Linked DNA regions of Alligator mississippiensis. The protein of the gene in region 2 purifies or fractionates together with the protein of the main gene of each other region. This does not show direct contact. Links are inferred from orthologs where the notes say so. Each region holds a gene or a part of one and is shown on either strand. Other genes may lie near its edges.

Region 1 (15,064 bases), on a different chromosome or scaffold from region 2:
TGCGGGGGGGGGGGGCGGGGGGGGGGGGCATGTTTTAATAGGAGTGGCTCCAAGAGCCACTCTAATTAAAGCACCCAGAGCATTTTGTGTATCAGTGTCCCCATGCTTCAAAATGGCAACAGGGGCACTTTATATAAAAGCACCTTGTTGCCATTTTGAAGTGCGGGGACATTGATACATGAGAAACTGGAGGCTGCTGCAGTGTGGTAATTACCAAACTCCAGCAGACTTGATTAATCACCCTTTGTTCCAAATGGGTGTTGAAGGCTACATTGACCCTCTAACCCAGCAATTCTCAAACTTTTCAGACTCAAGGCACCCCTCCATAACTTTTATGAATTGAGTAGAACCCAATTCAAAACTAATTTGCATATTACTGGACTTCCCACCGTGCAGAAAGGCTGGGCAGTGTGTGGGTGGGCGGGGAAAGAGGCAAGCCTGAGCTTATCTGCTGATCTCCCCACACCTCAGGCACCCTACAAAGGATCTGGCATACCCCAGGGTACTCCAGCACTGCTCTAACATCTTAGTGATTTCAGCATGTCAGGGTTGAAGCACACTAATATAGGTTTGTGGATAAGGTTGGATTACTGCTGCTAGTACAATGCTTACATGTAAACAGGTATCCTGAATTTCCCCCACTGATAATCCATCTTTTACTGGAAGAAAATTTCCTTCCTAAATATACGAACACTGCTTTCTTGAACTAAATTTTTGAAAATATGACAGGCCTTAAGTGACCACATAAAGGCATTAGTCATTTGTGACTAAAACACAGGAGGACAGCTCATAGAAAGCAGTATATCTAACAGAGTAAGTAGTAAAATATAGCAAGACAGCTGAATCAGTGTAATCATCCCAGTAAAGTCAAGAATGAGTCTATAAATGTGGGGAGAGGGGGAACAGGGGATTTATGCTATGCCTTAAGCTTGCAAAATATGTACCATAAAATCTCTTTCAAGAAAACACCCTTGATGGTAGCATGGGTGCATTTAACTAAATTTATGTGCAGCCAATAGAACTAAATGAACATGTATCATTATGGCTATGCCCATGGTCACAGCCTTTTCCCTATCAGTCTGAGCAGTTTCTACAAGTAGCAAGCCACTCCCAATTCTACTATGGCCAAACTTCAAGCTTAGAAAACATAATAAAATGTAGATAGCTGCACTAGACACAAGAAAGGATGCCACTATGGAGAAAAGGTGGTAAACTAAATAGAATTATTAACCAACGGTAGTTTCAAATCTCAGCATTCATTCTTTTTTTTTTTTTTCCTATTTATTTCCTGAGTAGGCTTTTAGTAGGCTAGAGCAATGCTCCCGTATAGGTATGTTCTCTTAATGTTCCATACACATTATTTCCTCTTTTTTGCATCTTTGTCATGCCATCCACTTCATTTTGAACCCATATGCCATTTTATTTTACACACTATTACACAATGCTTAAAAGCAGTCACGAATGTAGAAGAGATCCAAGACGCACTGAATATGCCAGTGTAACAATGAACTGTATATTCTACGACACTACGTCAGTAAGCATTTATGAACTAAAGGACACCCATCAGATTCATACAACAACTGAAGCAGTGTTTAGCAGGAAAGGGATGGAAGGAAAAAGGTACTGCATTTGATCTTCAAAGAATGTCCTCAGGTCTTAACCTTGACACAGCCGAAACTGAGCCATCTTACTGAAGTAAACTGGAAAGATGACCAAAAAACCTCAAGTGGTACATTTGCAACATTTATTTAACAATCCTGCTCAAGAGGTACAATTGACACTAAAATACGCAAAAGGATGTACGCGAAGTTCAGTTCAGTTTTTGAAAATCAGCTGAGCCACTTCTGACAACACAAATGCTAGCTGTCCACCGAGTTGCAAGACAACGTAGCAGTGATCATCTTTCCCACTAAATGCATTATCATTACTCTAAACCAGTGTTTCTCAACTTGTGGGTCACGACCGAAAAGTGGGTCACAAGAATATATGAAAGGGTCATGAATGACTTTAAAAATGGATCAACCAACTTATAAAATGGATTCTTCTTTAAAGGAGAAAAGTGTGGGAAACGGTGGCTTTTCCCTTGCAGGCTGGCAGAGTTACAGCCTTCAAGGGACTGCTTGGGCCCCCCACATGCATGCCTCACACCTACCCTCCTACCCCACACACTTGGGGACTGGGGCCTGGGTGGAGGCAGAGGGTCAGGAGTGAGAGAGAGTGGGCTGGGACTCGCCATTGATGTTTACAAATGGGTCCTAGTACAAAAAAAGGTGAGAACCACTGCTCTAGACCAGGGCTGTCCAACTTAAAAGCAGACGAAGGCTACGCATTGCACAGCTTACACAAGACTCACCAAGCTCCCATGGGCAGTGCCACCCCACCATCAGGGGCAGAGGCAGGAAGCAGAAATCACAGGAAGAAGGGGAAGGCTGGAGACCCCAGCAGCAGTAAACAGCCAGGAAGAAGCCTGAGGGCTGCAAGTTAAACCCCACATAGGCTTCAAGTTGAACAACCCTATCTTGGACCTTAGAGCATCCATCTAAAAGGACTCTGGCTCAAACACACACATTTAGAAAATTAAAACAGTCAGGCAAGCAAATGTTCTGGATATCTGGAATATAGTAAAGGTCTGAATGCATCATAACCTTTGCTCTTGTGTGTGGCTACAACCCAAATGAACAAGCCAATACCTAAAGGATTCAGTCTTCCTTTCTGCTTACTCTACATGCTGATTCACCCCACACCCCATCTGAATTCTAGCCTTTATCCCACCCTTCTCACTTTTGCAAATACTCTCTCATGCTGTCCTCTAACGTGTCTCCCAAATTTCTTGCTCACCTCCCTTAAGTTTATCACAATCCTTCATCACTCAACTTTTTCCAATCTAAATGGTCCATCTTATTCATGTTCTTTCCAACTTCTTCTTTTCCCCTTTCTTGGCAAAAATCACAGCAATCTTGTTTTTTATACTGAGCCCTGTCCTTCCCAGCCTCCGTAGCTGCACTCTTCGTACCTCCTGCCTCAAAACTTTCTAATCTTGCAACTTCCAACCACTGTCTCCAGATACTCCCTCCATCTAGGAAGTGCCCTCAATCCATCTCTTTTCCATATATGGAGCTGTCTAGTATTCCTCAGGTTGACCCAATAGCTGGTTCTTTCATCTTTTCATCCCACCCCTCTATGCCATTTCAATCCTCATATTACTGACCTCTCCAGTTCTGCTGAGGTAATGACTGTAGGTTATGAGAAGTAATTGGCAAAACTAGTACATTTTTACCCTGCTGACTGCATGCTCACTAGTCTACACTAAGCCACAACCTATTAGTCCTGTTAGTTTCTTCACCTGCTTACAGATTTAAGAATCGCTGCCAAGATTTTTAACAGACGTTTGGTTAAGACAGTGCCTCCTTGTTTGTTTCAGATCTAGTTAAGGCCATTATCCATATTTTTCATCTCCTCAAAATGGACTCTACTACACTCTAAACAGAATCATAATTCAAAACCATTTTGAAAACTTAAGCTGGTGCAAAATGCAGCTCCTCACCTGATAAGCAGTACTTGGCAGAGACAAAACATTACAACAATGCTTCAAGTTCTACATGAGTAAACCTCTAAATGCTTTGAGACGACAGCCACCTCCCATTACTATCAAATTATCGGGACACTTCAGCTAACATTCACATGGCTTGCTAGAGAAACTGCTGCTGCCCAAGTACTCTCTGATTCTGGAGACTGTTTACCCGATTCTGCAATCTGCTTGCCTTCTGGATTTGAGGGCATTCAGTGCTTATCATAAGGCTTTTCCAGGAGTAAAGGGACAGTTTTTTTGACAAGAGTATAAACCACAGTTCTTCACCCAAACATTTAAACTCTGGGCATGTTCTATTAGGTAGACAGTAAAGGTAACTGATAAGGAAGGAGATATTTCATAAACATACTCTTAAATTATAAGTTCAAGCTGAGTGTACATAGATGCTTTTCAAAAACTTAAACAGCTTTTGCTCCTCCTAGTCCTTGGCCTTCCATAAGCCTTTCACTCTACTCCCGAAGCACAGCACGCACTAGGTTGAATTTAGGCTGAAAGCTTGTCAGGGCAGTGACCTGCATTCGTAAAAATATTATGAACACAAGTGTGTTATAGAAATATTTATGATAACAAACTCAACATGTGCAAATCTTTAAACATGCTTGGCTCCCTGCCTCAATAAACAAGTCTGGTAAGTGTCTGGATAGATCCACAGCCTGAAAACAAAGATTTACATTTCCACTCTAGGAAAAGGATATCGATTTCATATTAAACAGATAGCATGTTCCTCACTTTTGCATCTTTCATAACACGCTAATGCAAACTGTAAGCTGCCAATAAATTTTTTGCTACTGATTAAGGAGTCTTTTAGCAGAATGAATGCAGTGGATGAATGAAACTTTAAAAAAAAAATACAATACATGAATTGTCAGCAATAATCCCAATCACCACCACCCCCTGCCGCCAAAACAAACACACTTTTTCTGGCTGAAAAGATGAAACCGTACGTTACTGCCCATTTAGAGTTCAGCTTCTAGTTCTCAGCTTAAATACCATTTATCACAAATGACACACAAAACAATCATTATCTTAGAGTGAAGTCCATGGATGAATTTGAATCAAGAAGAACAGAAAAGTTAAGGTTACCTAACTTTGTACAGTGTCATTCAAAAATGCTATTTTGCTGTTCTTGTAAAAGTTAGGAAGTGTACAAGGCTTTTGGGCTATTCTACTCAGGGTTTCCATCAGTTGGGAATTGCTTCCTTACTATTTATTTCCTAGACATTTGTCTTGTGCATACAAGACATTTTACCAAAACTGAGCAATATATACTTTAAAATAACAACAATCATGTTAAACTCATTTTCATAGAAGATATGACACACAGGCTGCAGTTTAGAAACACATTAAGTCTTCCAAGCCTTACATCTCCAGAAAATATTTCCTTTGGCCAATGTACTTCATCATGTCTATATCAGAGGCTATTCACTCTTACTCACCACTGCCACCACCATCACCAATGAAATCCTCAAAATACTTTTACTACATTGGAACTACAGCCCTTAGCAAAGGTTAAAGAGAAAAAAAAGTTGAGAGAGAAAAAACATACAAAAGTAAAACAAGGTATCTAAAACCCAAGCCTACGACCCACATTTAACGTGACTACAAATTCGAGATTTTACTTAAATCTCACCTTTAAGTATAGAACAATATTTTTCCCACTAGTGATTTTTTTAAATAAATGCAAATTATCAAACTTAGGGACAAATGAGAGATAGCAACATGTTAATTGCATGAGAGTTTCTATATTATATCCTGCTTGTCAGTTTAAGTATTCAGCATTCCCTTCCAGTTGTTACTAATAAGTTTATTCATTGGTAAAAATTTCACCCATAATTATTTTTCCCCACTCTTGCAGGAAAGGTACAGCAAGTAAAATGTTATTTACTATACCAGAGGGGCACAAAAAAGAGCCTGCACTTAGAACCTCAATGCTCATAGCTTATTTTACTTAAAAATAATTGCAAAATGCAAAAAGTAGCAAAATAAATCTTGTGTTTTAAAATGATCTCCATTTGAAAGATTCTTTCTAACAGCTGACAGTTTTAGTACAAAGGCAAGTTTTTTTCTCTCTTGGCCACATTTCTTTTTTGTCAATAGTACTTTCATTTGTGTTTACTTTACAGTAAACAGCATTTCACCCAGTCTTAAGTCTAACATCCCATGGAAATGTTTACAAAGTAAAAACATTGTCAAGTAGCTAAAGAAATGTCACATCTTGGTTTATGAAGTCTGTATCAACTGAATATAGTATTTAGCTCACAGTGATGCAAGTTTGTTTTAACAAAGGCCTTCAACAGCATTAAAAACATGACTACCAACTACATTTTTACTAAGCAATTTTCTGTGAAAATGGTTATACATCTCATTAATTTGATTCACTATATGTTATTTATGAACTTTTATTAAAATAGCAGCTCTGACAAGCTTGATGATCAGTACCACATGAGCTCTGCAAGTGCTACAAACTTATATATACACATTAGCTGAAGTAACTGTACTTTTTTATATTCCAGTTGTGCAACACAAAGCAGCTTTGATACTCATTCCTATACAAAAAAATCTTCTAGAGTATTTTTCTAAAAGTCCCATTAAACTTGTTTATCCATTCCATTTTTCAGGAATTAGGGAGTATAACAATTGTGTCATTTAAAATGTATTCTTTGCTTTTGTTAGTTAGCAATGTAGTAAAGAAACAGATAAGCTATTAATACAACTAAAGAACAGACTGTCAAAGGAACAACCTAGATACGCAAAACAACTCTACCTAGTACCTTAAATTCCATTTAGGCAGCACTAACATCATATGTAATCATCCATTACTCAAAGCAAAGTAGCCAGCAAAATTATGCTTACACACTTCAGATTTGTAATGCTATTTTGGTTTTATACCTACAAAAACAACTAATTCCTTAACTAGATGGCCCTTCTAACAGATTCCTTCATAGATATCACTGACTCTTGTTACAATCCATTAGCATGAGTGATTCTGATGTCACCAACATTAAAATGTGGGATCACTGGATCGACAGTGATCACGGAATCATTAAGACCAGCTGTATCCAGAAACCTTAGTGATCAGCATCCACAGGTTAAAGAAATGCAGAAAGAGCACCTGATAATAAAATGAGAGAGAGAGACATTCTTGAATGTTTGCTTCTTAGTAGAAGAACAAGGTGGTATAACACTCAGCCATGACAGAATTTTTAAAGAAAGTTCACAAGTTCCCCAAACCAGTCTGCTCAGACTACACAGCTACCAGCATGTAGAGCTGCTTAAAACATTCAGATGCATTTTATCTTATGCCAATACAGTACCCAGCACTTTCAGTGTTCACTAGGAGTGTGCACTGACATCTCCCTTTCTAATTGTGCCACCACGTCATTCTTTTTAAAAGAAAATACAAACACAAAGCAGTACATAGAAAACGTGTGTCTAGAACACTCTTATTATTCTTCCCGTTATTAGCTTCGAATACTCAATGGTGCCTTTAAATTAGCTTGCTCTACACTGAACACAGCACCAGAGATGTTAATCCCTTCCCTTCTACTTCCCCACAGCAACCCTGCAGACCTCATTTTCAAAGCATAAATATTTAGCCTCATGCCACAACTACAGCACGAATTTGGCTGAGTTGCAGGGAACAAGACACTTGCTGCCCTGAACCAGCTCCTTGGTGCTGCTGCAAAAACACAAGTTCACTTAGCTGCCACTGGACGTTCCCCGTGTGGGCGACACAGAACAAGGGAGCGGCAGGGAAAGGGGCTTCTGGAACAAATAGGGGACAAGTTCCAGGTCTGAATATTAAGGATGGTTCCCAGCCCCTAAGGAAGGCGGTGTTACCATGACCAAGCTGCGGGGGAGGCCCCCACCCGCCTCCTCCTCCATCTGTGATCAGAAAGTGGCAGCCCCGGCCTGCTACACAGCCGGTGTCCCCCCGGTGCGGGGCGGACGGGACCGACGGGAGGCCGCACCTGGGCACAGCCCGCCGACAAGCCCGAGCCGCCACTCGGCGCCACCCGTTATCGCTCGCGGGGCCGGGTGCGAGGCGCCAGAGGCGGGAGCCGCAGCCGCCTGAGGCCGAGCGGCTTCTGGAGGCGCCCGGAGAAGCCCACGCGGGGCGCGGGGCCCGGGCTCCTCCCCGCCGGCAGGGCTCGCCCCGCCTCGGCCCCTTGCGCGAGGCCCCGCGAGTGTCACTTTCGCCCCGCCCCGCCGCGGGCTTTTGTCCCAGCCCCTCCCCCACGCGCCGCGCGGCCTAGCGCCGCTCCGCTCCGCTCCGCTCCCACTGCGGCAGCGCCCGCGGCTCGGGCCGTCCGTCTGGGGGGATGGATGGGGGGGCGGACCGGGCTGGGTTGGACCGGGCGGCGGGGGGAGGGGCGGCCACTCACCATCAACTCGATGGTCTTGTCCTCGATCACCGAGTCGGGCTCCATAGCGGCGGCGGGGGCGGCGGCCCCGCGCGGGCGGCTCCTCGCTCCCCCTCCCCGCGCCCGCCCGCCCCGCAGCGCAGAACCGAACCCGCGAGCGCTCCGACCTCGGCCGCCGCCGGCTGCTCCCTCCCCCCGCCCGCCGGACGCACGCACGTACGTACGTCTGCACGCACGCTGCAACCGCCGCGGCGTAACGCGCCCCGCTCCCGGAACCGGAAGCACCGCCCCCCTCCCCCAGCGAGGGGAGGGGCGCAGACTACGGCTCCCGCCAGGCTCCGCGGCGCCCTCCCGCGGCAAAAGCGGAGTGGCCTACAGCTCCCGGCATACAGCGCGCGCCAAAGAGGCGAGTGGGTTGCAGCGCATGCTGGGACCTGCAGTCTTGGGGCGGGTGGGACGCGCCTGCGCTCCCCGGGTCGAGGCGGCCGCAGACCTGTGCCGCGCTCACAATAGCCGCGGTCTCGGACCCCCGTGCAGAGCGCCGCGCCGAGCCGAGCCGAGCCGGACGCGGCCCTGGGGACGCTCAGTCCGTGCCGCGGGCGGGGCAGGCGCTGGGGAAATCCCGCTCCCCCCGGCCCGGCGCCGCGATCACAGGACAAGACGTGAAACTCTTTGCTCAGCGCTTTGTGTCCCTCGTGCACCCGGGCCCCTCCTCGAGCCGGGCCCTGCGCCCGTAACACGAACACCTCCTCCTGGGGGCCCGGACTGCCCGCAAGGAGAGAGGCGGAGGCGGCCGCGTCCAGCTGCCCCTTAGGCCCTTGCTGGGGAAGTGAAAGGAAGAGCGCCTGGAGGGGCACCAGCTTGTTGGCTCTGGATTTAGGACCCAGTTTTCTCCAATACTCTCTTCTCGGACTGGTCTCATCCCCTCCAGTCTAACACCTCCTCGGCACTTTTGGACAGGTATAGAGCCATAGAGAACGAGGGTTGGAAGGAAGCAGTCCACGTGCCTGCTCAAAGGAGGACCATCCCCACTATATCCCAGCCAACACATTTTCTAGCCAGCAGATAAGTGGAACAGCGAAATTAGCTTATTCACTGATAGATGTCATAGGGAGGCCATTTTATTTTCGTGTAGCTCAATAGTCCAGTACTTTGGTCATAACTGATTTATATGGGCAGTTGGTCTAATTCCTCATTTCCCTGTTACACATTTGGAGTGGAAGGTGCAGGTTAGGTTGTCTGCCAGAAAGCAACTTGATCCCAGCTGTAACACACCCATATGGCAAGGAAGTATGCAAGTGCCATTTTTGCCCATTTTAAACCCCTTTGCACTACCTGGGTTGTGTAAAGGCATAACTGTAAATGTAACTCAGAACCAGGCCACAGTTTCTCTAGCACATTGATGTTTGAGAACCACTGGGAAAAAAGAAAATTCATTTGACACAAGAAGTAAAACACCAGGTAGTGTGTGTATATATGTCAAAGCTATACAGTAACAATCTTTGTTTTTAGGTAATCGTATCACAAAATTAATTCATATAACAGATGCCCCAAAAAATACTACTTTTACCTTTCTAGCACCTTAATATTCTCATCCTAGTAGTGCAGATACCAGTTCTATTCAAGATCGTTAGTTGAGACAATACAACAGACAATACAACATACCAATATATTTGGACAGTGTTTTGTTTAGAAATAGAGGGTTTTTTTCTCCATAGTTTAATCTGTGAAAAAAGTGAAGGAATATTACTTATCATTGTTTACAGTCCTCCCTCGAAAACCAATTTCATTTTTTAGATTATAGTGGGTTTCAAGTTCTTACTGTTGTAATTTTGGGATTCCAAACACTACAGGGGAAATGTCTTTTTAAATAATTATCTTCCATTATTAACTTGCACCACATAAAGTAACTAATGTGTAGGGGAAAAGGAGTGGTTCAGCAGAAATGCTGAAACCTATTGGTAGGGCCCCATCAAATTCATAGTGCAAGTGGGCTCCGCTGCAGCTCCTGTAACCTTGCAGGTTCCCCTGTGTGCCCCTCCCAGCCACCACCCACCATGGGTTGCTGGAGGGGCCTTGCTTGCAGCTCACTCCTGACTGATAGAGAGGTGAAAACTGCAGCTTTAAATATGGTGCTATTTTTGCCTCCTGTCGCTGATTGCGCCAAGTAAGACTTGGACTACCATGAAATGTCAGGTCTTGAAGACAAATCTTGTCTAAGTGAAGCAGTACATAACATACTGACTATTGGTCACATGTATCAGTACCGTCTAAGTGGTGTAATCACACTTTGTTAAGGATGCATCTCAGACTGTATATTACTAGCATCCCAACAGTATTCTCCTCTGGCGGATGGGATTGCACCGTGTACTTTAGGAATAAGGAGATCTAAAATCTATTCCTATTGCTACTTTCAAATTCTGAGCAGTATTCTGACAGTTCCTAAGATCTATGGGACCAGAGATATGTTACAATATTATTATTCACCAAGTGCTGCCTGTGTTCAGCATTTGAAAAACAGTCCTAGTCACAGGAAACTTTCAATCTAACGTTAAATATAGACTTACAGAGACTAACATAAAAAACTCTAAAAAGATGAGGAGCAATACCATGGAACAAACCACACTGGAAAACACTGAAATGCTTGACAGTGTAAGAGTATCACATAAGCATTACTGAAATGAATGCAATCTGCATTCCTAGCTGTGAGCTGCTTTTTCAAACATTTACAAAATTCCTCAGTGCCTGCATCCCATTCCGAGGCAGCCAGCCTGCTGGCAGAGAACAGGAATCCTCTTCCTCTACGGACGGCATCGTAGTGGTACAGAGTGACAGATTCAGTTTGAACATCTGCAGACTTTGTAGAAAAACTATTGGAGCAACAGTACATTAATAAGTCTGGAGACAAGAACCAGTAATGATTAAATCTCAGGTGCTTTGGCAAGGGTTATCAAGGTCACATGGACTGCAATCTGATGATGCAGCAGGGACTGAGTGAATTAGTCAGCACTGAAAATCAGAGACAAAAATGTCATAAACAGAAGTCTGCTGTAATGGCACAGCATTAATGATACTGTCCTCATGGTGAAAAGGGGACTTAGAGTGAAAATTAGTAAGTACTTTTCCAACAGTTAGATTTGAGGATGAAATTTTTGTCTCCTGACCACCTAATTAGAATTGGTCCAGATATAGCTCACGAACAAGTGAAAATACGATATAGAGTCGTCTTTTCCTTTTGATGCTGCAACCTGCTTCAGTGCTCACTGGGATCAATGGAATTTTATTTATTTAGGCTCATAAAAATGCTAATTAGAGCACCTATTAATGCACTCAGAATATCTTTAAGAGAGTGTCCCAAGTCCAGCAAATATCACTTCCTTTCAAACAATTCCCTTGCTTACAATTATACTCCCCTTCCTTTCCCCTCCCCCCACCCCCATTTTAAATATCTGTGTCAAAAGAGGGACCTTGTTATTAGGACTGTGCTAAATTTCAACAGGTGCTTCATTTCAAAGCTGTTTCAATACATTTTGAGCTAGAAACAGTGAAATTTAAACTAAATGAGGCTTCAAAACAATTTCAAAATTAAAGGAGGGCACGTGAAATGTTTCAAAAGTTTCAAAATGTTTTGAGTTTTGAAGCCAGACTTGCTTGGAGCTAGACACTAACTAAGGAGAGGGAGGGGAAAAGGACTGCTCTGATACTGACATCTAGTTCCCGGTTCGATTTCCAAGCTCCCAGTTTGATTCCCCCACTCTCTGATCACATCCCCCAGCTCTCTGATCATTTCCCCGGGTCTTCCTGGGGGGCGCAGCCCCCTGATCTGTGTGTAGGGTTTCAGCAGGCTGCTGCTGCAGGCTGAGGCCAGCAGTAGCGCTGCAGTCTTTCTGGTGCTCAGCGCAGACTGGGGAATCAAACTGGAGCCTGGGAAATTGACAGGGAGCTGGGAGAATGCTCTCGGTTTGATTTCCCCAGTTCCCCAATCTTTTCCACAGCTCTCTGATCGCTTCCCGCAGCTCTTCCTGTGGGGCATGAGGCCCTGGATGATGTGGGTTGACAGCAGGCTGCTGCTGCCAGGTGGTGATGGCAGCAGCTCTGGGCTATTTCCCCAGCTGGCAGCAGCAGCCTGCTGAAACCCCTGTGCACAGATCCAGGAGGGGCTGCGTCCCCCAGGAAGAGCTGGGGGAATGATCAGCAAGGATCCTGGTTTTCTGTTTCTCATGGAAAAACAGAGAAAACCATGGATTTCCCCTTTTTATCAGAGAAAACACAGATTTCTCCTTTTAGCAGAAAAGCCTGCAGATTCCTTGCTTTTGCAAAGAGCTCTGCAGGCTGGTTGAGCTCCAGTCTGCAAAATCTGTTTGCAAACAGGACGAGAAACCCCTAGCCCTGCCTGGAGGGGGAGGGGGAGGGGGAAAGGGAAGGGCAGGGCCTGAGACTCTGTCAGCCATGGCTGCGCTCAGTTCAGCTTCACTCTTAGCTCCTGGAGCCTGAGGTAATTGGGACTTACAGGAAGCCAGGGGCCCCTCTGGCAGGGCTGGGGGGTTGCAGGTCATGGCTGGCGGGGGCACTGGCAGGGCTGGGGGGAGCTAGCCCCAGCCCCGCCTGAGCAGGCAGCAGCAGTGGGGGAGCCAGCTCAGGGCTGCTTCTGCTGCAGCTGCCTGCTGTTGGGGGCAGGGAGCTGCCCTGGCAGCTGGGGGCCCCCTCCAGCAGGGCTGAGGGGTGGGGGCAGTGAGGGGCACCAGCAGGGCTGGGGGTCTTTGAGAGCAGTGAAATGCACCATCAGGGCTGGGAGAAGCATTGGGGGGTGATTGAGGAGCATCAGTGGGTGGGGGGGGTAGCTGCAGGGGACTTTTAATTTTAATAATGGATTTGGGGAGTTTTATCAGAGAATTTGTGATTTTTTTGTCAGAGAATTTGTGTTTTTTTATCAGAGGAAACCAGGATCCCTGATGATCAGAGAGCTGGGGATCGAACTGGGAGCTTTGGCTGACATGTGGAGCTGCCCCAGCTTCCAGGCAGCGCACAGCACCCTGCCGAGCTGTACTGCACATGTGAGATTGTACAGCTGCTGCATGGGTGCCAGGCGGGGAGGGTGTGACCCTGGCTGCCCCCCATTGCTCTGTGCTGCTTAGAGGGGCTCTGCCACAAACCCTCAGAGGCCCCCATCACAGCTGCCAGAGTTGGTGAGTGCGGGGCCTTTATTTTTTTTTCAAAGCTACATACACTGGCTGTGGAGCATGTGGATGCCAACATGCTGCCGCTGCTGGCTGGGACCAGCACCCAAGTCTGCCTGGTGCAGCCTGCGCCAGAAAGAACCCAGTGTTGGCACTGGCCCCAGCCAGCAGTGGCAGTCTGCTGTCATCCTGCACAGATCCAGGGGGCACGGTCCCCCCAGGAGGGCTGCAGGGCTGTGCCAGACTCCTCCCAGGAGGAGCGGGCCCCTGGATCTGCGTGCAGGATGACAGCAGGCTGCCACTGCCAGCAAGTGATACTAGCTTTGCTTTGAACAGTTTGAGGTGTGGTTTCACAAAAAACCCTGCACCTATCTCCTTGAAACTTGGCAGTCTTCATGCCCTCAGAAGGAGCTACCATCCCTGCAATTTCCATCTAAGTCTGGCAAGAAATGATAAAGCTATAGGCATTTTTGTGATTCCCCATTATAGCCTATGGGCGAAACATCGAAACACGTCAAAGCAGCATTGAAACAGCAAAGCAGTTTCGACAAAACAAAGTGGAACAGTGCTTCAAAACAGCAGAACGAAACACTGTCCCTTCAAAACAGCAAAATGGAAGTTGAAACGAAACAGTGCTGTTTTGCACAGCCCTACTTGTTATGTGTCCTGAAGGTCCTCATATTAGTATTATTTTAAACCAAGCTGAGAACTTGGTCCAAAAGGGTCTAACCTGACAACATGTAGCCAACAGCCCCTTTTCATTTATACTGACAAGTCTTGAGCACATCTGTTAATACAACCTGTGGCACAATAAATGCAGAGTGACCATATATGCTCAGTTTACAAGGGGAAATATGTGTTTTTTTCCCCTTAACCGCAGAGCAGGAAACTGCTTGGGACTTGCCAGCCAGGCTAAACTATTGCCTTCTCACAGGGTGTGTCTACATGTGCAATTAGTGCTTTATGGTTTTACTGCGCAGTTTTTTACTGCAGAGTAAAGCTTCCTTGGGCAGGCATCTACATGTGCGGCTATTTGGGAGCAGATTTGCTCCTCAAGGCACTAGGCTGCTCCCAGCCTCCTCCTGCCCTGCACTGTCCCCCTGCAGCAGCCAGGAGGCACTGGAGGCGTCAGCCACAGCTACCTGAGGCCAGGCACCCTCTCTAAATGTCAGCCCTGTGCGCTGCTTCGTGGCCACCTGCAATTCTGTCCCAGAGCAGGCTGCAGCATGCTGGCACAGGCCTCCAACCCTGTCACCAGAGCCTGTGCTCACTGCATGATGGCTGCTCCACCCCCAGGCCCCAAGAGTGATGATCCATGCCCCAGGCTCCTGCTTGCCACCCTGCTTGCTGCACTTTGCCACCGAGGCAACCACTGCCTGGCCGAGGTCAGTCTTGGCCCTGCCTGCCCTCCCCTGTGTTGCACAGCCTCATGGCCAGACTTACCACAGCATCTGAGACCTCCTGCCACTGCACTGCTGCTGCCCAGCCCCTGAACTGCTACTCAGACCCCAGCAGGGATGCTGATGACATTGCCATGAACGCCTCAACCAGTGCCATCCATGAACTGGGGCTTCAGACCCGTCACCTGTAGGCCCACCTGACCAGCCAGGACTGGTGGCTGCATGTTGTCCAGACCACCTGGGATGATTAGCAGTGGTTGGAGTCCTTTTGCATGACCCAGGCCACCTTCCAGGAGCTCCTCAACCAGCTCTGCCTGCAACTGGAGCAGCAGGCCACTATCATGAGGCTGCTCCTCCCTGCAGAGACCCAGCTGGCCATCACCATGTTCAAGCTGGCCACAGTCACCAGCCTGTACTATGTCAGCCACATCTTCAGTGTGGGCAAGGCAACTGCCAGAGAGGCCATCCTGGGGGCATGCAGTGACTGGATGCACGATCCCTTGGAGGTGGTGGTGGGGTTCCATGCCCTGGGCT
Region 2 (15,748 bases):
GCCTTATCTGCAGGCCCCTAACCATATGAGTGGTCCTCCTCTGGACCCTCTGAAGGATTCTTTGAGTAGATGTGATCTCTTTTATCAGACCAACTGAGTAGTTGGAAAAAAGTTCTTAGCAAGCTATTTTTCCAACTACTCACTTGGTCTAATAAAAGATATCACATCTACTCAAACAGCCTTGCCTATGTCCTCAGACCACATGGCTACAAACAAAACCCAGCATCCTGTGGTTTTAATATGGCTCAGCAGCAGAGCTGAAACCTGTAGGTGTACTGCATGCACCTCTGTCATTAATAGCAAATGAACTGCTCTTATTAGTTATGTGAACAAGACACTTGCCCATAGATTTCACAGATATTTGCTAACAAGATGCAAGGAGGAACTTGGGTATCTTCAATTCTATTCCATTCCAGAATGCACAAACTCCTGCCCTTTCTACCCTAACTCACTCCCAAAGACGCATCTGTTCCAGTCTCCATTCCTCATCACAGAATGCAGTCTTCAGGCTTATTATCCCACCATCAGACTCCTTCTCCAGCTAATCTCTGTTCCCTCTGTCTGGTTCTGGTATCTCATTTCCTTAGCATGTGCATCCACAAACATCCCTCATTCCCATTGGCTCTCAGTCCTCTTCCCGTGTTTTTCCAAGTCTGTCTCCTGCAGCTTCCTGCCCAACTACTCTATTACTTGTTTCACCTCTCTTCCTTTTCCCCAAATTCCAATTTCAATCTACCCCATGCTGCTGTCCCATCTGCATCAGAATGGGTCCTGTTGCTCTTCTGCACTATGTAGGACTAGCAAGTACCAAGACTGAGCATAGGAATCTCTCTACTATCAATCAGTTCTGGTGCCAAGCCCTAGTCTGCAGCAGTCTATAGCTGAAACTGCTGGTAAAGAAAGTCCTGATCATTCTCTTTCAGTCTTCTCAAAGTAGAACACAGGCAGAATTCTGATTTGCATGGGCAAAATATTTTCTCTAGCCTTCAGGGATGTATGTGGTAGCTGGGTTGGTTTGGGACAAAAAGAAATGCAAAAATCTAGAACTTTTTTTTTTTTTTTGCAATTTCTCAGTTTGTCTAATAAAGGGTATCATTTTGGAACCAAGAGGTCTAGATTTTTGCATTTCTCTAGTCTTTGCTTTTCAAAAAAGAGAATTGTTTTGAATGAAGTTTTCCAAAAAAAGACCAGCTATGACGCCCATAATGAAAAATCTCAGCCCAAATAAGTTATAATTTGATAAGGTTATAATCAAATGATAATCAGGTTTTAATAATGGGAAATATCAGGTGAACCCCTATGTATAATTTCTACCTGTACTACAAAGTGCATTCTAGGAAGGCATCAGGTGCTGAATGGACTATAGCACTGGGCTTTCAGGTGGCAGCACAATCTTTACTCCTTCTGACTGAGAAGTACTGTTATGTTTGCATCTGAATATATTCAAGTGGTGCTGGAGTTCTGTCAGCAAAACTTTGTAGTGTACACTACACAGTGCATTAAGGGCCACGGAAGTGACTACAGAATATTTTTCATTAAAAGCATAGCAAGAGGAGGGAGGGGAAAAAAAACACAAGTTCTTAGGACTGCTCTCTAAACTCTTATTCTAAAAACATGGACACAAAGGCTAGGGACAGAAATTACACATGAACCAGTATAAGTAATTGGGAACTGGTTCAAATCTGTAACACAATAGAAGTTCAGTGTGCATAAACCGCTTTCACAATGGCCAAAACTGGTTTAAGATAATCCTAGATGGATGTAGGATTTATCAGGACTTAACTGACTTAGGTTAAATTGGTTTATTGAACTAATGTCCCAGATCCCCTCCAGATTCAAGTTTACTCACAGTCCCCCAGCATCCAAGGATGCTTTGTACCTCCCTTGCAAACTTTCTCCTACCCTCCCAGGGTAGGCAGGCTAGCTTTGGCTCAAACTGTCTGATCCAGCTGAGCAGGGAGGCTAGCATGAGGTAGCCTCTCCTGGCTTCTGGCCTGGACTATGGCAGGGTGCAGGCATGTGACTGCATTTCCAGAATCAAAAGTGAAAGTCTGTTCACTTGCTTATCGGCTCAATGTACACAGCTTAGACTAACCTGTGAAGATTGAATTAATTCAGCCTTGGGTTTCTTGACTGTACTTAGCCAAACACACACAGTCCAGTTTAAATGTGGTTTAAATCTGAAACTGACAGACAGAACCTCTACATTTCATATTTGCGGTATAAGTAACATGTTAATTGGGATATAAATGGCAAGGGTGCACCCAACTTAAGACACCATGAAATGACAAATATAATAGTGAACATATTATTCAGAAGATTTTTATGACTGGTTTGTATGGCAACTTAACCTAAACATGAAGCATGTCCAAGGCTACCTCAGGGCCAAGCTTTCAATCAGCCGATTGCTGGTCCTGACTCCAAGACACCCGTGGTCTCTAACTGCTCCATGTACTCCTAGGGCTGGACTGGAGTCTCAAACCAGCCCTCCATAGACTTGGGGCTGGGGCTGACAATTAGCTGATTGTAAGGCCTGGCCTCAGGACCACACCAGGGTCTTGAACTGACCCTTTGTAGTCCCAGGTCCAGGGCCAAGTATCAACATTTGATTGTTGACCCTGGCCCATGCCAGGTCATTCAAGGCTGTGAGTGCTCAGCTTTCAAACTGCCAGTGCAGAGTGAGCCTGAGATCCTGAGGCTGGTCTACAACTGCACTGGCAACTAGAGAGGGTGTGATCTAGATCTTATCCCTGACCCCAAAATTGCACCTCCTGCCATGCATGAGGCATGGCAGGAGGCGCAACTGTTGGGATGGGGGATCAGATCCCATGGCACTTTTAAACAAACAAGCCAGGGGCCAGATATACAAGCCTATTAAACTGTTTTAAAGGTGCCTGTAACCGTTCAAAAGTGCAGCTGGAAAATCAAGTACTATTTTAAACCACTTAAGAGTTATGGGTGGATACCAGGCCATCCGTGGCACTGGTCTGGTTGGTCCTCCAGGCATCTCACACTGTATGGCTCTTTTCCCCACCACTGCTGCAACTGGCCATTCTGGTATGCAGCCAAAACTCTACTGCCCCCTTTGTTGGCCCTTTTCATCAATAAGCCCCCTTGCACTGCTTGTTCAGTAAAGGGTATGTAACAGCCAGCTGTGTCCTTCACTTTCTGCTAGACTGTGTACCCTTATCAGGCGCCTCCAGCTAATGGGAAGCCAAAAACATGGGTCCAAGATTCTCTCATCCCCATCTCAAGTCAGAAAAAGCACACTGTAGACTTTGGTCAATGGCAGGCTACTAAAGTGTACTGAACTTCTGTTTAGGAGAAGGGAAAGCATAAAAGCAAAGATGTGCCAATCACAGATCACCCACCCCTGAAGCATGGGTGCAAGCATTCCCTCCCCAGCCCCTACCTTGCCCATTATGAAACATACTGAGCTAGGTGCTCATTCCCAACCCCTGTTGGCAGTTACAGCACTTCACACACAAAACTGGGAGCTGGTTCTGAATTGGTGACATTTGGGAATGGTTCAATTGTTGCATGCGTCTGCAGACTAACCCTTGTTTTAATTTAAACCTCTTCCCAAGCAACATAGTAGTTTTTCAATGTAATTTGGTAAGGCATTAAATTAAACTTAACACTGGAATAAGAGAGGCCACAGAGTAGATTACACCAATACAGCTATTGTTTAAATCCACATCTCAGGTTATGTTGCTTTTCTTAAGGCCTTAATTTCTCTGGCATTTTTAAGATTGCTTACCTTTTCTCCAAAAGGATACTGAATTCTTTCCTAATCTTGCAGACTTTGGATCTTCATAGACATATTTCACAAAAAGTTTTCTAATATTTTACAAGCCTATCTTCATATTAGCAGTTTCTTCTGGAGCCACATCACTGCCCAGAAAGCGCAACCCTCTGTCTTCCACTCTCAGCAAGTCGCTACTGAACTCTGTAGACAGGCACATTAATCTCTTATAGGTAAAATATTTTTCCTCTGTTCTACACAAAAGGGAAGGGATCCGTTCATGTGGAAGGTTCCTTCCATGAACTCATCTAACTTGAATTATGAGGACCTTTGATTTTTCACTCCCTTCCCACCTTCAGAAAGGAAGAATCCATGCAGACTGAAATGTTAAAAAAGATCCCACTAAAGTTGCTTCACATTCATTTATTCACCTTTAAGTGTGAAACGTATCCATACACTACATCATGATGATCCGAGTCAAACACAGATCTCTGAACTCATAAGCAGTAATCCTATTAACAGGTATTTTGATAGCCATATAAACTGGCACAGCTAGAAAGTTTCTTTTATGAGCTTTCAACAGCTAATTTTAAGGTAATATATAGAGTAATCACAAGACACCAGAGAAGATGAGAATCGTTTTCTCTTTGTTGTATTAAACCCTATTACCATTTTCTGGAGATAATTACATGTGCCAACGGAGAAAGATAGGTACGCATTTAATTTGTATATAAAGCTTTGGTATTTTATTACTGAAAAGTGTAAAAAAACCCAAACCCCAAAATTAAATCAAGGTTTCAGAATTCTCACCCACCGTAACAAATTGGGAAAAGGAGTACCATATTGTTTGGTTAGACCTAGCATACACTTAGTCATAACAAGAACTATATACCCTGTATGATATCAAAGCCAGAAAGATGGTGGCCACAAGGGAAGAATGGAAAAAACTTGCTGTTTTTCCCACTACCATAGAGAACTCCCTAGGAGAAATGTCACAAGTAATGCATATGCATAAAACTTATATGAATTTATCACAAAAACTCTAAATAATAAGGCTTTTCATAACCTAAACTATCCTGGTTTGATTTGGCATATCACTTTCAGACCAGAAAATTATCAATAAATCCCTTTCCTTTATGAACATTATAATAGTTCTGCTGCTGGCAGTCATACGACTATGTTGCAAACATACTACTAACAAATAACAATCACAAAGCAAAAGTAGCAAACTAAACGATATTTCATTTGTAAATTAACTGAGCATAGTAAAAATGTTGCACAAAGCAAAGTGGAGTATTTTATTTACATTTTTAAAAACCCCTGGACACCTATAACACTAAAATGTTTGCACCAGATTTTCTCTTTATATTAGAACAGCCTTATTCTCAACTCCAGCAAGATCAAAAGTCTACAAAGCAAAGACCTGCAGATCTGCTATGTCAGACATGCAAATCATCACACGCATATATTAGAGTATCAGACATACTCTCAGAATTCTGGCTTTTACTTATACACAGCCCTCTAATGAATAAGCTTCAGGGTCAAATGTGATCACAAACTACCCAGTATTTTATACAAATTCAGCAGCTGACTTATCATAAGCAAATTAAATATGCAGCAATATTTGACATCAGAAGCCAGTCTTTCATCTTTCCACAAGACAGTGCAGAGTCTGGTCATGATTTGCTTTCCAGACAGCAGCTTTTACTATCACTCAGGAAAATATTTCTGACTTACTTAAGTAAGTGGTAGCTTAAAAGTTGCCATCTGGAAAACAACTCACAAATAGACTGCATGGTCTTTCAAAAAAGATGAAAGACTGGCTTCCGGTTACAGACAGCATGGACTGGCAATGTTAAGCTGGACCACGCTCAGTTTTGGAAAAAGATCTGGTCTTAAGCCACTCAGTGGCAATGCTCTGGTGATTAATTAGAGGTAATACATGACACCAAAAATCATCCCTATATGCCACTGTTCAGAAGGCAGTCAACCACAATTCTGTACCACAAGAGAAGGAAGGGGGAGAGAGAACAAGACATAAGTTTGTTTTTCGTTTTTTCAACCACTTCATAGAATTCCCCTAGAAAAAAGTAATGAAAAGCTTATATCCATATGATGTTAATTATTTATAACAGTTGTGCATTCATCAATAATGCTATACTGTTACTATGTACTAATATTTTTGCAACACACAATAAATGGTGTCTGACAATTTCCTAGGCCTAAGTCATGGTGTCAAACACATGGCTCACAGGCCAAATCCAGCCCACAGAACTGCTCCATCCGGCAGGCTGCTAGAAGCTGCAGGCCAGGGCTAGCGAGGCATGGGCTACCACAGAATTTGGGGTCCCTAGAAACCAATGGACATGGTCATCGGCAGCCAGGGGCTAGCAAGGCTGTGCAGATACAGACGTAATTCACCTGCTGCAGTCTGACCCCCACCACCAGATCCATGCCACTCCCTGACCCATGCCACTGTGACTGGACACAGCCCAGTGACACCTCAGGTCTATAAAGATGCCAGTTTTAACTTGCATTTGAAGTAGCTTCAACCAAAACAGCTAAACCAAGGTTCTTTGGCTGTATTAACATAACGGGGAGCTGGCAGCTGGGACATCCAGACATTATAATAATTAAAGAGATGCCAAATGCAAGCAGGTACAGCTTGTCTGTCTCTAGAATCAGATGTGACCCAATCCGAAGCAGGGAATTATAAGTAAATTCTCTGCTGTGTTTTACGGCAACATCAAGTTCTATGCCACAAACAACAAACGCCTAGAATATTTTTTTTAGACGTGTATGTCCCAATCAGCCACTTCACCTATTTTAGCTGCCCAAGCTCCGTAAGTTAACAAAGACAACGTTTCATAGATGACTGTGAGTAGCACCCAGACACAGGTACTTCACCCGCAACAGTAGGCTGCTTGGACTACACAGGCAGTTACATGCCTGATGTACACAGGAATTACAAGATCCGTGTGTAAATTAGAGAAGGACACCGGCTGCTGTGGTTTCCTTACTTTACTCATGGCAAGTTAGGGCATTATGTCTATGTTGCGTCAGGGATGAGGGTAAGAGTTTAGATTACGGTTGTGTGGGGTGGTTCGGATTAGAAGGTCCCTTTCAGCCTGACTTCTCTATGACTAAGTACAATGTCAGGAACCACCTCTGAAAAATTGGCTTAAGGGCTCATAAAGTAAAGCCACGCGTATTGTTATATATAAACAAAAAGCCACGTTATGAGACAAAAACACTCGCATTTTGTTTAGCTGGGGGGTGGGAGACTCTACACCAGTGCTTCCCAAATTTTTCCCCAGACTCCATTTAGGGTCCCATTTCCTCAGCGTGGCCCCTCACTCCCAGTCCACAACCCTTCATCCCCACAACCCCACCGGCTGATGCTGCGACCCTGTTTAGGGTCACGACCCACAGTTGGGCAACCGCTGCTCTCCACTGTTCAGAAACAAACCCTCCCAGGCAATACAGGTTCAACCTCCTGCATGGCCTCACACTTTCCAGTCAGCTGCAGCCGGGAGGGGATACAACGGGCCTCAAGGGGGCTACCCACGGTCGCCACAGTTGCTTTCATGGAAAAGAAGTGTGAACGAAGTAGGTGATGCGCGGGGCCCCCGCCAGGCGCCCGAAGTGAGCAGTGTGTGCAGGCAGCGTGCCACAGGCAAGTGCTGCGCAAAGCCCAGTCAGTCCCAGAGCTGCGCCTTAACCCCAACGCCACGGCAGAGACCAGCCGGGGGCTCCTCAAACCGCAGGGGCATGGGGCTCTGCCCTGGGCTAGATACTGGGGGTGGAAACGCAAGACCACAGCACTGGACACCTCCCAGCTTGGCTCAGCACTGGACACCTCCCAGCTTGGCTCAGGGGCAGGAGGCAGAGCAAAGCAGAGCGCCCCTCGCCCAGGAGCCCCAGAGACGGTGGGCAAGGCGAGGGGAGCCTGACCAGGGCCCCATGCTGGGCAGAGCCCCTGGCGGAGGCTGTGATGGGCCGACACCCCCCGCATGGCCCCTCCCGCCTACGTCAAAACCCCCAACGGACAGCGCCATCGGGGAGCGCAGGGGTCCCCGGGCCGCCACCCGGATGGAACAGGCCGGGAGGGGGAGAAGGAGGGAGCCCTGCACCGCACACGCGGGGGGGGGGGAGCATCGGAGCCCGACCCCCGCGCGCGAAAACGAGGCTGCGGGGCAGTCCCCGGCGGAGCTGAGCGGCGCTGTCGCCCCGCAACTCACCTCGTGCCGGGCCAGCGCCAGGCTGGCGGGAGAACGGGGGCAACGGCTGCCGCGACAAGACCAGCGGTTAGTGGCGGCAGCGGCGGCGGAATGGAGCGTTGCCCGGCAGCCGGGGGGGGGCGGGGCGGGGCGGGGCGAGGCGAGGCGGCGCGGGCGCGCGTGCGCACTGAACCGGGGGCCACACGTGACCCCTGCCCCGCAGACGAGCTCACAGCGCCTGGGGCAACCGGGCCACGCGCCGGGCGCCGGCGGCAGTAGCCGGGCTTAGGGGGGAGTGTGCGTGTGCTCTCGTGACCGCTGCACACGTGTTCGCGTGCGCTCAGCCGGGGGCGGGGCGTGCACCTCTGTCTCCCGCTGCGTCGGGCTGGGGGCTGCCCCTGGGGGATCTTGCTGGCTGCTGCTTGCACGTGCCTGCTGCACACCGGGGGGCGCGTGCGTGCGTGGCCGTGCGCACATGGGGGGGCGAGTGTGTGCACGGCTGTGGGGGTAGTGAGTGTGTGTGTGCATGTGCCTGGGGGTGTGTAGAACCTGTGCTGTATGCGTGTGTGTGCAACCACAAGAGATGTGCAGGGACTGGTGCTTGGTTTCCGCTGCCAGGCAACCCAGCTCGGGGGAGGTGGGACAGCCCTATGGGCTGGGCTAGGAGCCAGCCCCACTTTGTGGGAAGCCTGGGGACAAACCGGTGCCCTGCTGCCCCCCGGCTGCCCGCAGATACCTGGGCTGAGGTGGTGCGCTCTGTGCGGCATGAAATCTGCTGGGAGAACCAGCACTTAGTTTCTCTTCCTTGCCAGCACTTAGTTTCTCCTTCCTCTCCCCAAGTCTACCCTGGATTCCCCTTCCCATCGCCAGAAGCAGGCACTGACAGAAGAGGCTTGTGACTCACTGTCATGTGCTGGTGGGGGATTAATGTGTTGTAACCCTGACCTGGTTCACCTTGTGGCAGGGAAACCAGGCCGGTTCTCCCAGTGACACACAGAAAAAACAAGGCCATTTCTCCCAGTGACACACTGAAAGCAAGGCGGGTTCTCCCAGTGACGCGCTGCCTGCCTCGGAGACTTCTCCCCACCTTGCTCGCCCTCCCAGCTCCTGAGACTGCCCTCAACCACTGCGTTTATGCTGCCATGGGCAGGCTCATACTTAATTCCCTTTCAGAAGATCACCCAATGCAGAGACTTTCCCAGAGCTGTTGTTTCAGACTTAAGCCAGTGCCACTGCATGCATTACAGTTGTTTTACTTATTATTGCAACTCAAGGGAGCTAGAAATAGGATTGGGGTTTTTTCCCCCCATTAGAAGTTAGATTTTAAAGCAGCTGGGCATGCCAGACTTGATACATGAGGGCAGCCACATGTTTCACACCATTGCTTCAGAGTCCAGTGGGACTGGTTTAATTATTCATTATCCATTATTTCTAGCAGGGTAGCACCTGGGGAAAGGCTCGGGGATGTTGTGGTAGGCGCTGTACATGCGCACAAAATAGGCTTTAAAACTGAGGCCTCTCTGAAGATGGCAACCCTCTGAAAACAAGAAGCTACCTTTACAGAAGACATTTCATTTCACACAGGTTTTCCTATCACTCGGGATCTCTGTTTTCCGGCTGAAATGAAAGGGGTGGTTTACTAGTTGAAATGAAGTAGTATCTGCCACTAAATATTTTCTGTTGGCTAAGCAGCTGGTCAGTTGCTGGATTTAGTTTAATGTTATAATAGGATAAGATTGACTTTTGAGGACACAGTGATATATTTAACCGCTTCTTCCATTTTTCACTAATAAACCTCTCTGGTGCTGAAAAGAAGTTTGTTCTCATTTGAAAAAGCACTGTCTGCTGAAAGCAACAAATAAGACATCACGGGCTTAGGAAGAAAATATCTGTTGTAGGGACAGTTTTTAATATGCTTATGCTCACAAAGTCTAAATTGAAGTCCATGAATTGAAGAGTTTATAAACCTGACTAAGGGAAAAAGGAAAACTAGGTCTGAAGAGGTGATGTGGCTTATCCAAGATTTCAATCCAAGTTACTGACACAGTTGGCAATACAGCTCAGGCCTCCTAAGTTCCAGCCTAGTGTTCAGTCAACTAGACTATTCCACCCTTTTTATAATAATGTGTTTATTTTACTTTTTTATTACAATAAATAATCATATTTTTATTTAAAACGTAGGTTTTAGCCCATTTGGGACAAAGGCCATGCTTATGCTTTCCTGAGTTTTTCAATTTACAACCCAACATTGTTCAGTTTACATAATATTCAACATAACAGAACAATCATAAATTGAAAATGATATGTTAGTTTGCTGATAGATGGGTAAACAAAGCCTTGCTATGGTGGAAAAGCATATGCTCCTTGTATCTTGGCACATAAAACTTCTTGCATATCTTTAGTACATGCCCATGTCCCACAGAGATGTGTTTTGCTCTGTACATATTGTGCTACATGAGTTCCTATTCTTTTTCCTGCAGCAGCCACACTTCTGGCAGAGCCTTACTGCTATATATTTAAATATCTGTAGAGCTCAGAACTCCAGTCATTAAATGCCATGCAACTTGTAGTTTGGGAAGTGCTGCCTAAGAGTGAAATCAACACATCTTTCATTATTTGTAAATATTACGTTTTATTAAAAAAAAAAAACAAAACCTTTGTATATTGGACAAATTTATTCCTTGCATGAAATGCATACACAATTTTTGGTGGAAAAAAAGGGGTTTTGGCAGTTAGAAACACACACACACACACACTGAATTGCAGGGGTTTTGTAAACATATATATATTATTAAATGACAGGTCAAATGCCAAGCCTGCTCATCTTGATATTGCTGGTTTCACAATAGAAATTCTGAATGAATGTTGGGAAATTTTATGGAGCAAATTCATGCATATATGCATCTCTTACTCAGCTCAGTGCAATTAATGTTCCCCTGTTTGGTACTGCATGGATATTCCTGTCTCAGCTGTTACAGTAGTCCAAAGGCATCACTCATTTGAATAGAATGGCATAATGATAATAGTCCAACTATATTTGCATAATATGTTTCCTGAACATAAGGTACCTGGAAATACCATTAAGCTTGAAAGATTTCAAATGCATTCAGAATCGTTATAAATCATTTCAGGTTTCCCTCCACGCTTTCTTGTGCTCCTTATTTGTTGTCTTATCTCAGTTTAGACCTTGTGAGAATAAATTTGTTAAAAATTGTCCTTACAACAGATATTTTCTTCCTATGCCCATGATTTGTTGCTTTCAGCAGACAGTGCTTTTCAAAATGACAGCAATCTCCTTTTCAGCACCAGAGAGCTTTATCGCTGAGAAATAGAAGAGGGGGTTAAATATATCACTGTGTCCTCAAAAGTCAATCTTAAAATAGATCCTATTATGACATTAAAGTAAATCCAGCAAATGACCAGCTGCTTAGCCAACAGATAATTTTTTAGTGGCAGGTAGTATTTCATTTCAATTAGTAAGCCACCCCTTTCATTTCAGCCAGAGAAAAGAAGTTCCTAGAGCTAGGAAAATTCATGTGAAACACAACATCTTCTGTACAGGTTTCCTTGTCTTCTTAGAGAGTTGCCATCTTCAGAGAGCCCTCGGTTTTTGTCTCCTACATCCTCACCTGCTCTTCCCCCTCCCCCTCACCTTCTTCCATAACATTTTAAAACTAAACTATAAAAATGGTAAATTGTATTCTTTTCACACATTTGGCATATTTATTTATTCTCTGATTAGACAACATTCCATGTAGGCTGACATGAACCAAATTACCCTTTCAGTTTTTATATGCAATTATATTCTTGTTTGTGTGAGTCTATATGTCACCCTACAACAATGTAGCAACACACTATGTCACCATATAGTATGCTACGGTGATGTAGCGATCACATGGGTCTACACATGATCTCCAGCTACGTTGCCATAATGGTACACTTCCCTGGTGTAGTGCGCTGCTATGGCGACAGTGGCGAAATCTAGCCATGTACCAGGCACACAGCTCAGTTACCTCCCATACTGGAAGTACTAAAGCATGGCGCTGTAGCAATGTTGCCATATGGCAACGTGTAGATGTGCCCTTTGAGATGTAACCTGTGACACCATCTGGTCATCTGGACCTTTTAACTACCCTAATAAAAAAATCCAGAGGCCTCATCATGGTCTTTATTCAGCGCAAAGCATATTCCTTGCCCCTGATCAGTATTCAGATTATATGATCATTCCTCCATTTCTTTCACAGCGCAAGCCACATCTGCTAGTGAGTGGATACCTTGAGATGTCCCACTCACAGTCATAAAGACCAGCTCCCCTCATCTATATATAAGCAGTAGGGCTGTGCGAAATTTCGGCAGCCGTTTCATTTTGGAGGTGTTTTGGGCTGTTTTGGCACCCGAAACACCGAATCCGAAGCAAAATGGAAGGCTCTGAAACATCTCCGAAATGAAATGAAGCATCTGAAACATTTTGAAAATGTTTTGGACAGTTTTGGAGTTTCAGAGCCAGGCTTACAGGGAAATAGCTGTACGCTGTTGCCCTGCCATGCAACTTGGCTCTGCAGGGAGCAGAAATCCAGGGCAGTGTAGGGTCAGCAGCGGTGCCAAGGAGACCCCCAGTGCAGATCTCTGTTCCTGCAGAGCCAGGTCGTGCAGCAGGGCAGTGCTGGTCCCTGCTGCATGACCTGGTTCCTTAGAGAGCAGAGATCCAGGGCAACGTGGGGTGGGCAGCGGAAGCGAGAAAATCCCTGGCGTGGATCTCTGCTCCCTGCGGAGCCAGGTCATGCAGCAGGGACCAGCAGGCTTGCTCACCACTCTGTGCTGCTTCCCTGCCCCATGACCTGGCGTGACAGGGATGGGAGATCTGTGCCGGGGTCTCCTCACCTGCACAGAGGGCAGGGGCACTCTCCCAGATGAACCACCCGTAGCCCCAGCTTGCTCCCTGCTGGGGCCCCAAGCCCCTGACCTCAAGCCCCGCCCAGCTGGGCAGTAGGGCTGTGCAAAGCTTACAGCCTGTTCGAAAGAGCTTCAGAGGAGATTTGGCCAAAACGAAACAGGACAGTGATCCGAAATGAATTACTGTCCTCCGAAACAGCCGAATCCAAAACTGAATTGAAACACTGCCATTTTGCACAGCCCTAAGTTAAGCAGGTGGCAAAGTGCTGTTCAAAATTGTGTTTATGGAGTACCTGTGCTAAAACTTGCAGCAGTTCCAAAAAAGGTAACGTATCAATTTTGGATGAATTAAGTAGGTGCTATATGCAAATTGCTATAGCCATGTTTAATTTCAAGATAATTGTTTTCAAATTTGCTCCTTATTTCTGTGTGTTCAGGGAGAACAGGGTCTGACAGTAAAGAAAAAGGGAAGGAGCTGCCAGGGCAAAATATTGTGGGGAAGCAGCTAAGAGTCTACTTGATCCCCCAAGATTTATTTTCTCTGCTATAGCAGTGGGAGGGTGACAACTTCAAGGCAAACCTCCAAAAATTATATCTGGAAAATTATAACAAACTAGTCAATTGCCTGTCAAGAATGATGGGTGGGGGTGGGGGTGTGTGCGGGTGGGGATAGAGGCCTGTGTCCAGCCCCCTACCCTCCCAACCTTTGGGGCCAGGCCTACTCCCCCTTTTCCACCCTCTGCTGCAGGCTGGGCCCACCCTGCCCCCACCACTCTGCCCCCTGACTCCCCACCCTCTCTGCCACTGTTTTGGGGCTGGGCTGAGCCCTGTGCATGCCCTCCCCATTGCAGGGACAGGCCCATATCCCCTCCCATCCATCCGGCCCATGTCCTCCTGCCTCCTCTTCCCATGAATGTCGTGGGGGGGGTGTGGATGGAGCACCACCACCCAGCACCCCATGCCACCGCTGCATCCAGGGAGCGGGGGTAGGCCAGTGCTGATGGCCTTCTACCCTGCTCTGTCCACTCTATTGCTGCTGCCTGCTTCTTTCCCTCTGTCCCTGCCATCACAACAGCATCTGGGCCTGCTCCTCCCCCACGTCGTGGCAGGCCCGGGCCTGGGCCCATTCCTCCCCTCCCCTGCACCGCCATTGTGAGTCCAACCATGTTCCCCACCCCACTCATGCTGCCACTGCTGCCTCCGCCATGGAGTGGGGGGGGCAAGGCCAGCTGTGCTGGCCTCAGCCCCCCGTCCCCTCTGTCCCTGCTGCCATGGCATCACAGCACTGCCACCACCTGCAATCTGAACGCTCTTGGAGCACTCCGATTGGCTGCCGAGACAGCCAATCAGAGTGTGAATAAAGCATTACGGAAAGACAGGCAGGCTAAGGCTGTGTGTAGATGAAACGAGGGGCATACACGCATGACACTTTAAAGTGGGCTAAATGCTTTTGCACCACTTTAATGGTGTCAGCCTTCGCACGCCTCGGCCGAGTATTGTGCATTAATTCCAGCTGCTGTAGGAAATTCGGCAGCATAATGCACCTTAAATGACTTGGGGCACAGCAAACTAAAACTCCTCAGACATTATGAGGGGTTTTAGTTTGCTGTGTGTACAGCCACGGAGCGAAGCACTGAGCTCTGTGCATTGCAAAATCAAGCCCCACATGAGCAATATTCCTTCACTCCTGACAATTATTAGCAAGCATTGTACACACTACTGCCTGATAATATGTAAGGCAGATCATCTGATAAGAGGACAAAGTCCTGATTCTTCTTGAAATCACTAGCCATTATTTTCCTCAACAACAGGTGCCTTCTAGCTAGAACTTTCCATTGTGGCTAGGCTGAAGAGGGCAGGCAAACATTTTCTATAGCTTTCTCCCCTTCCCCTGCTCCAGGTTTCCCCAGTTCTGCTTTTATGAATAGAGTTATAAGCAAGTACTTTTGCCAGGTACGTTGGGATTTTAAATGGGTCTCATTCTGATGGTGTTAGCATGAGTAGACAAACTCTAAGAAGATAGGAGAAGAGAAGAGAATGAGGAAGAGGAGACAGACTGGCACACAGAAAGGGTTAGAGTAAGGGTGCTTGTACACGTTATTAAGTGGCCTAGTTTACACCACAACATTTTCTCAATAGAACTTAAGTTGTGCTGGTAAAATTTTGAGCGTAGACAGATTCAAAATTTCTCTAAGATGGCAGAATTCTCCTGCTTGCTGCCAAGGTTAAACATTTCCCCTAACAAAGTAATGTTTCATGTAGACATGATTTTCAATCAAGGTGCCGTGGCCCCCAGGCTGCTATGCAATGTTAGCTGTGCTTACATGATTTACAAGATAAACCCAGAGTTTTCAAATAGGAATCCATAGTGTTAAAAGCATTCTGACTTGTTTGGGTCTTTCTGAATTGCAACAGGAATTCCTTTTTTTTTTTTTTGGGTAATCAAATATCAAGTGAAAACTAAGAACTGGCATTTTCCAAAGGGAGCCTGGCATGTAGTAAGGCATGCTTTAAGTCTAAAAAGGCTGAGAACCACTGATGTGATACACCCATGCTTTCCACTTGCTGTAAGTCCTTTCAGCAGCTGTTGCCTTCTCAGGGTGCACTTTGTAGCCTGGCAGCACAGCTGCTGAGGGAAGCTGCCAAAAGCACATAGTCATCCTGATTACTCTCTTGAGCCCGGGGGGGGGGGGGGGGGTGGCTGCTCTCTACTGTATGAATGTCTACTGCCAGAGGCAGGTAAGAGTTGACATCAGAAAAGAGGCCCTTAAACATAATGAGCAGTTGAGGGAGACAACTTAGACAACATGTCAACAAAGGAAAGTGGTCCATTTTAATGTCTCTCTCCACTTTCATTTCTCCCTGACCGTCTCCCACACTCATTTTCTCT

The links.
Region 1: the proteins of LPIN2 (region 2) and FBXW11 purify together in Homo sapiens (affinity purification with mass spectrometry; 4 studies listed by BioGRID and IntAct, with this or other methods). This does not show direct contact. The link is inferred for Alligator mississippiensis from reciprocal best matches to the Homo sapiens genes LPIN2 and FBXW11.

What each region holds. Positions count from the first base shown.
Region 1 is NC_081832.1:46,597,938-46,613,001, reverse strand, and holds the start of FBXW11 (F-box/WD repeat-containing protein 11), read right to left. Parts: upstream 8,120-15,064; 5' UTR 8,020-8,119; coding exon 7,975-8,019; intron 1-7,974.
Region 2 is NC_081826.1:90,812,072-90,827,819, forward strand, and holds the start of LPIN2 (phosphatidate phosphatase LPIN2), read right to left. Parts: upstream 8,104-15,748; 5' UTR 7,987-8,103; intron 1-7,986. UniProt on the Homo sapiens protein: Acts as a magnesium-dependent phosphatidate phosphatase enzyme which catalyzes the conversion of phosphatidic acid to diacylglycerol during triglyceride, phosphatidylcholine and phosphatidylethanolamine biosynthesis in the endoplasmic reticulum membrane.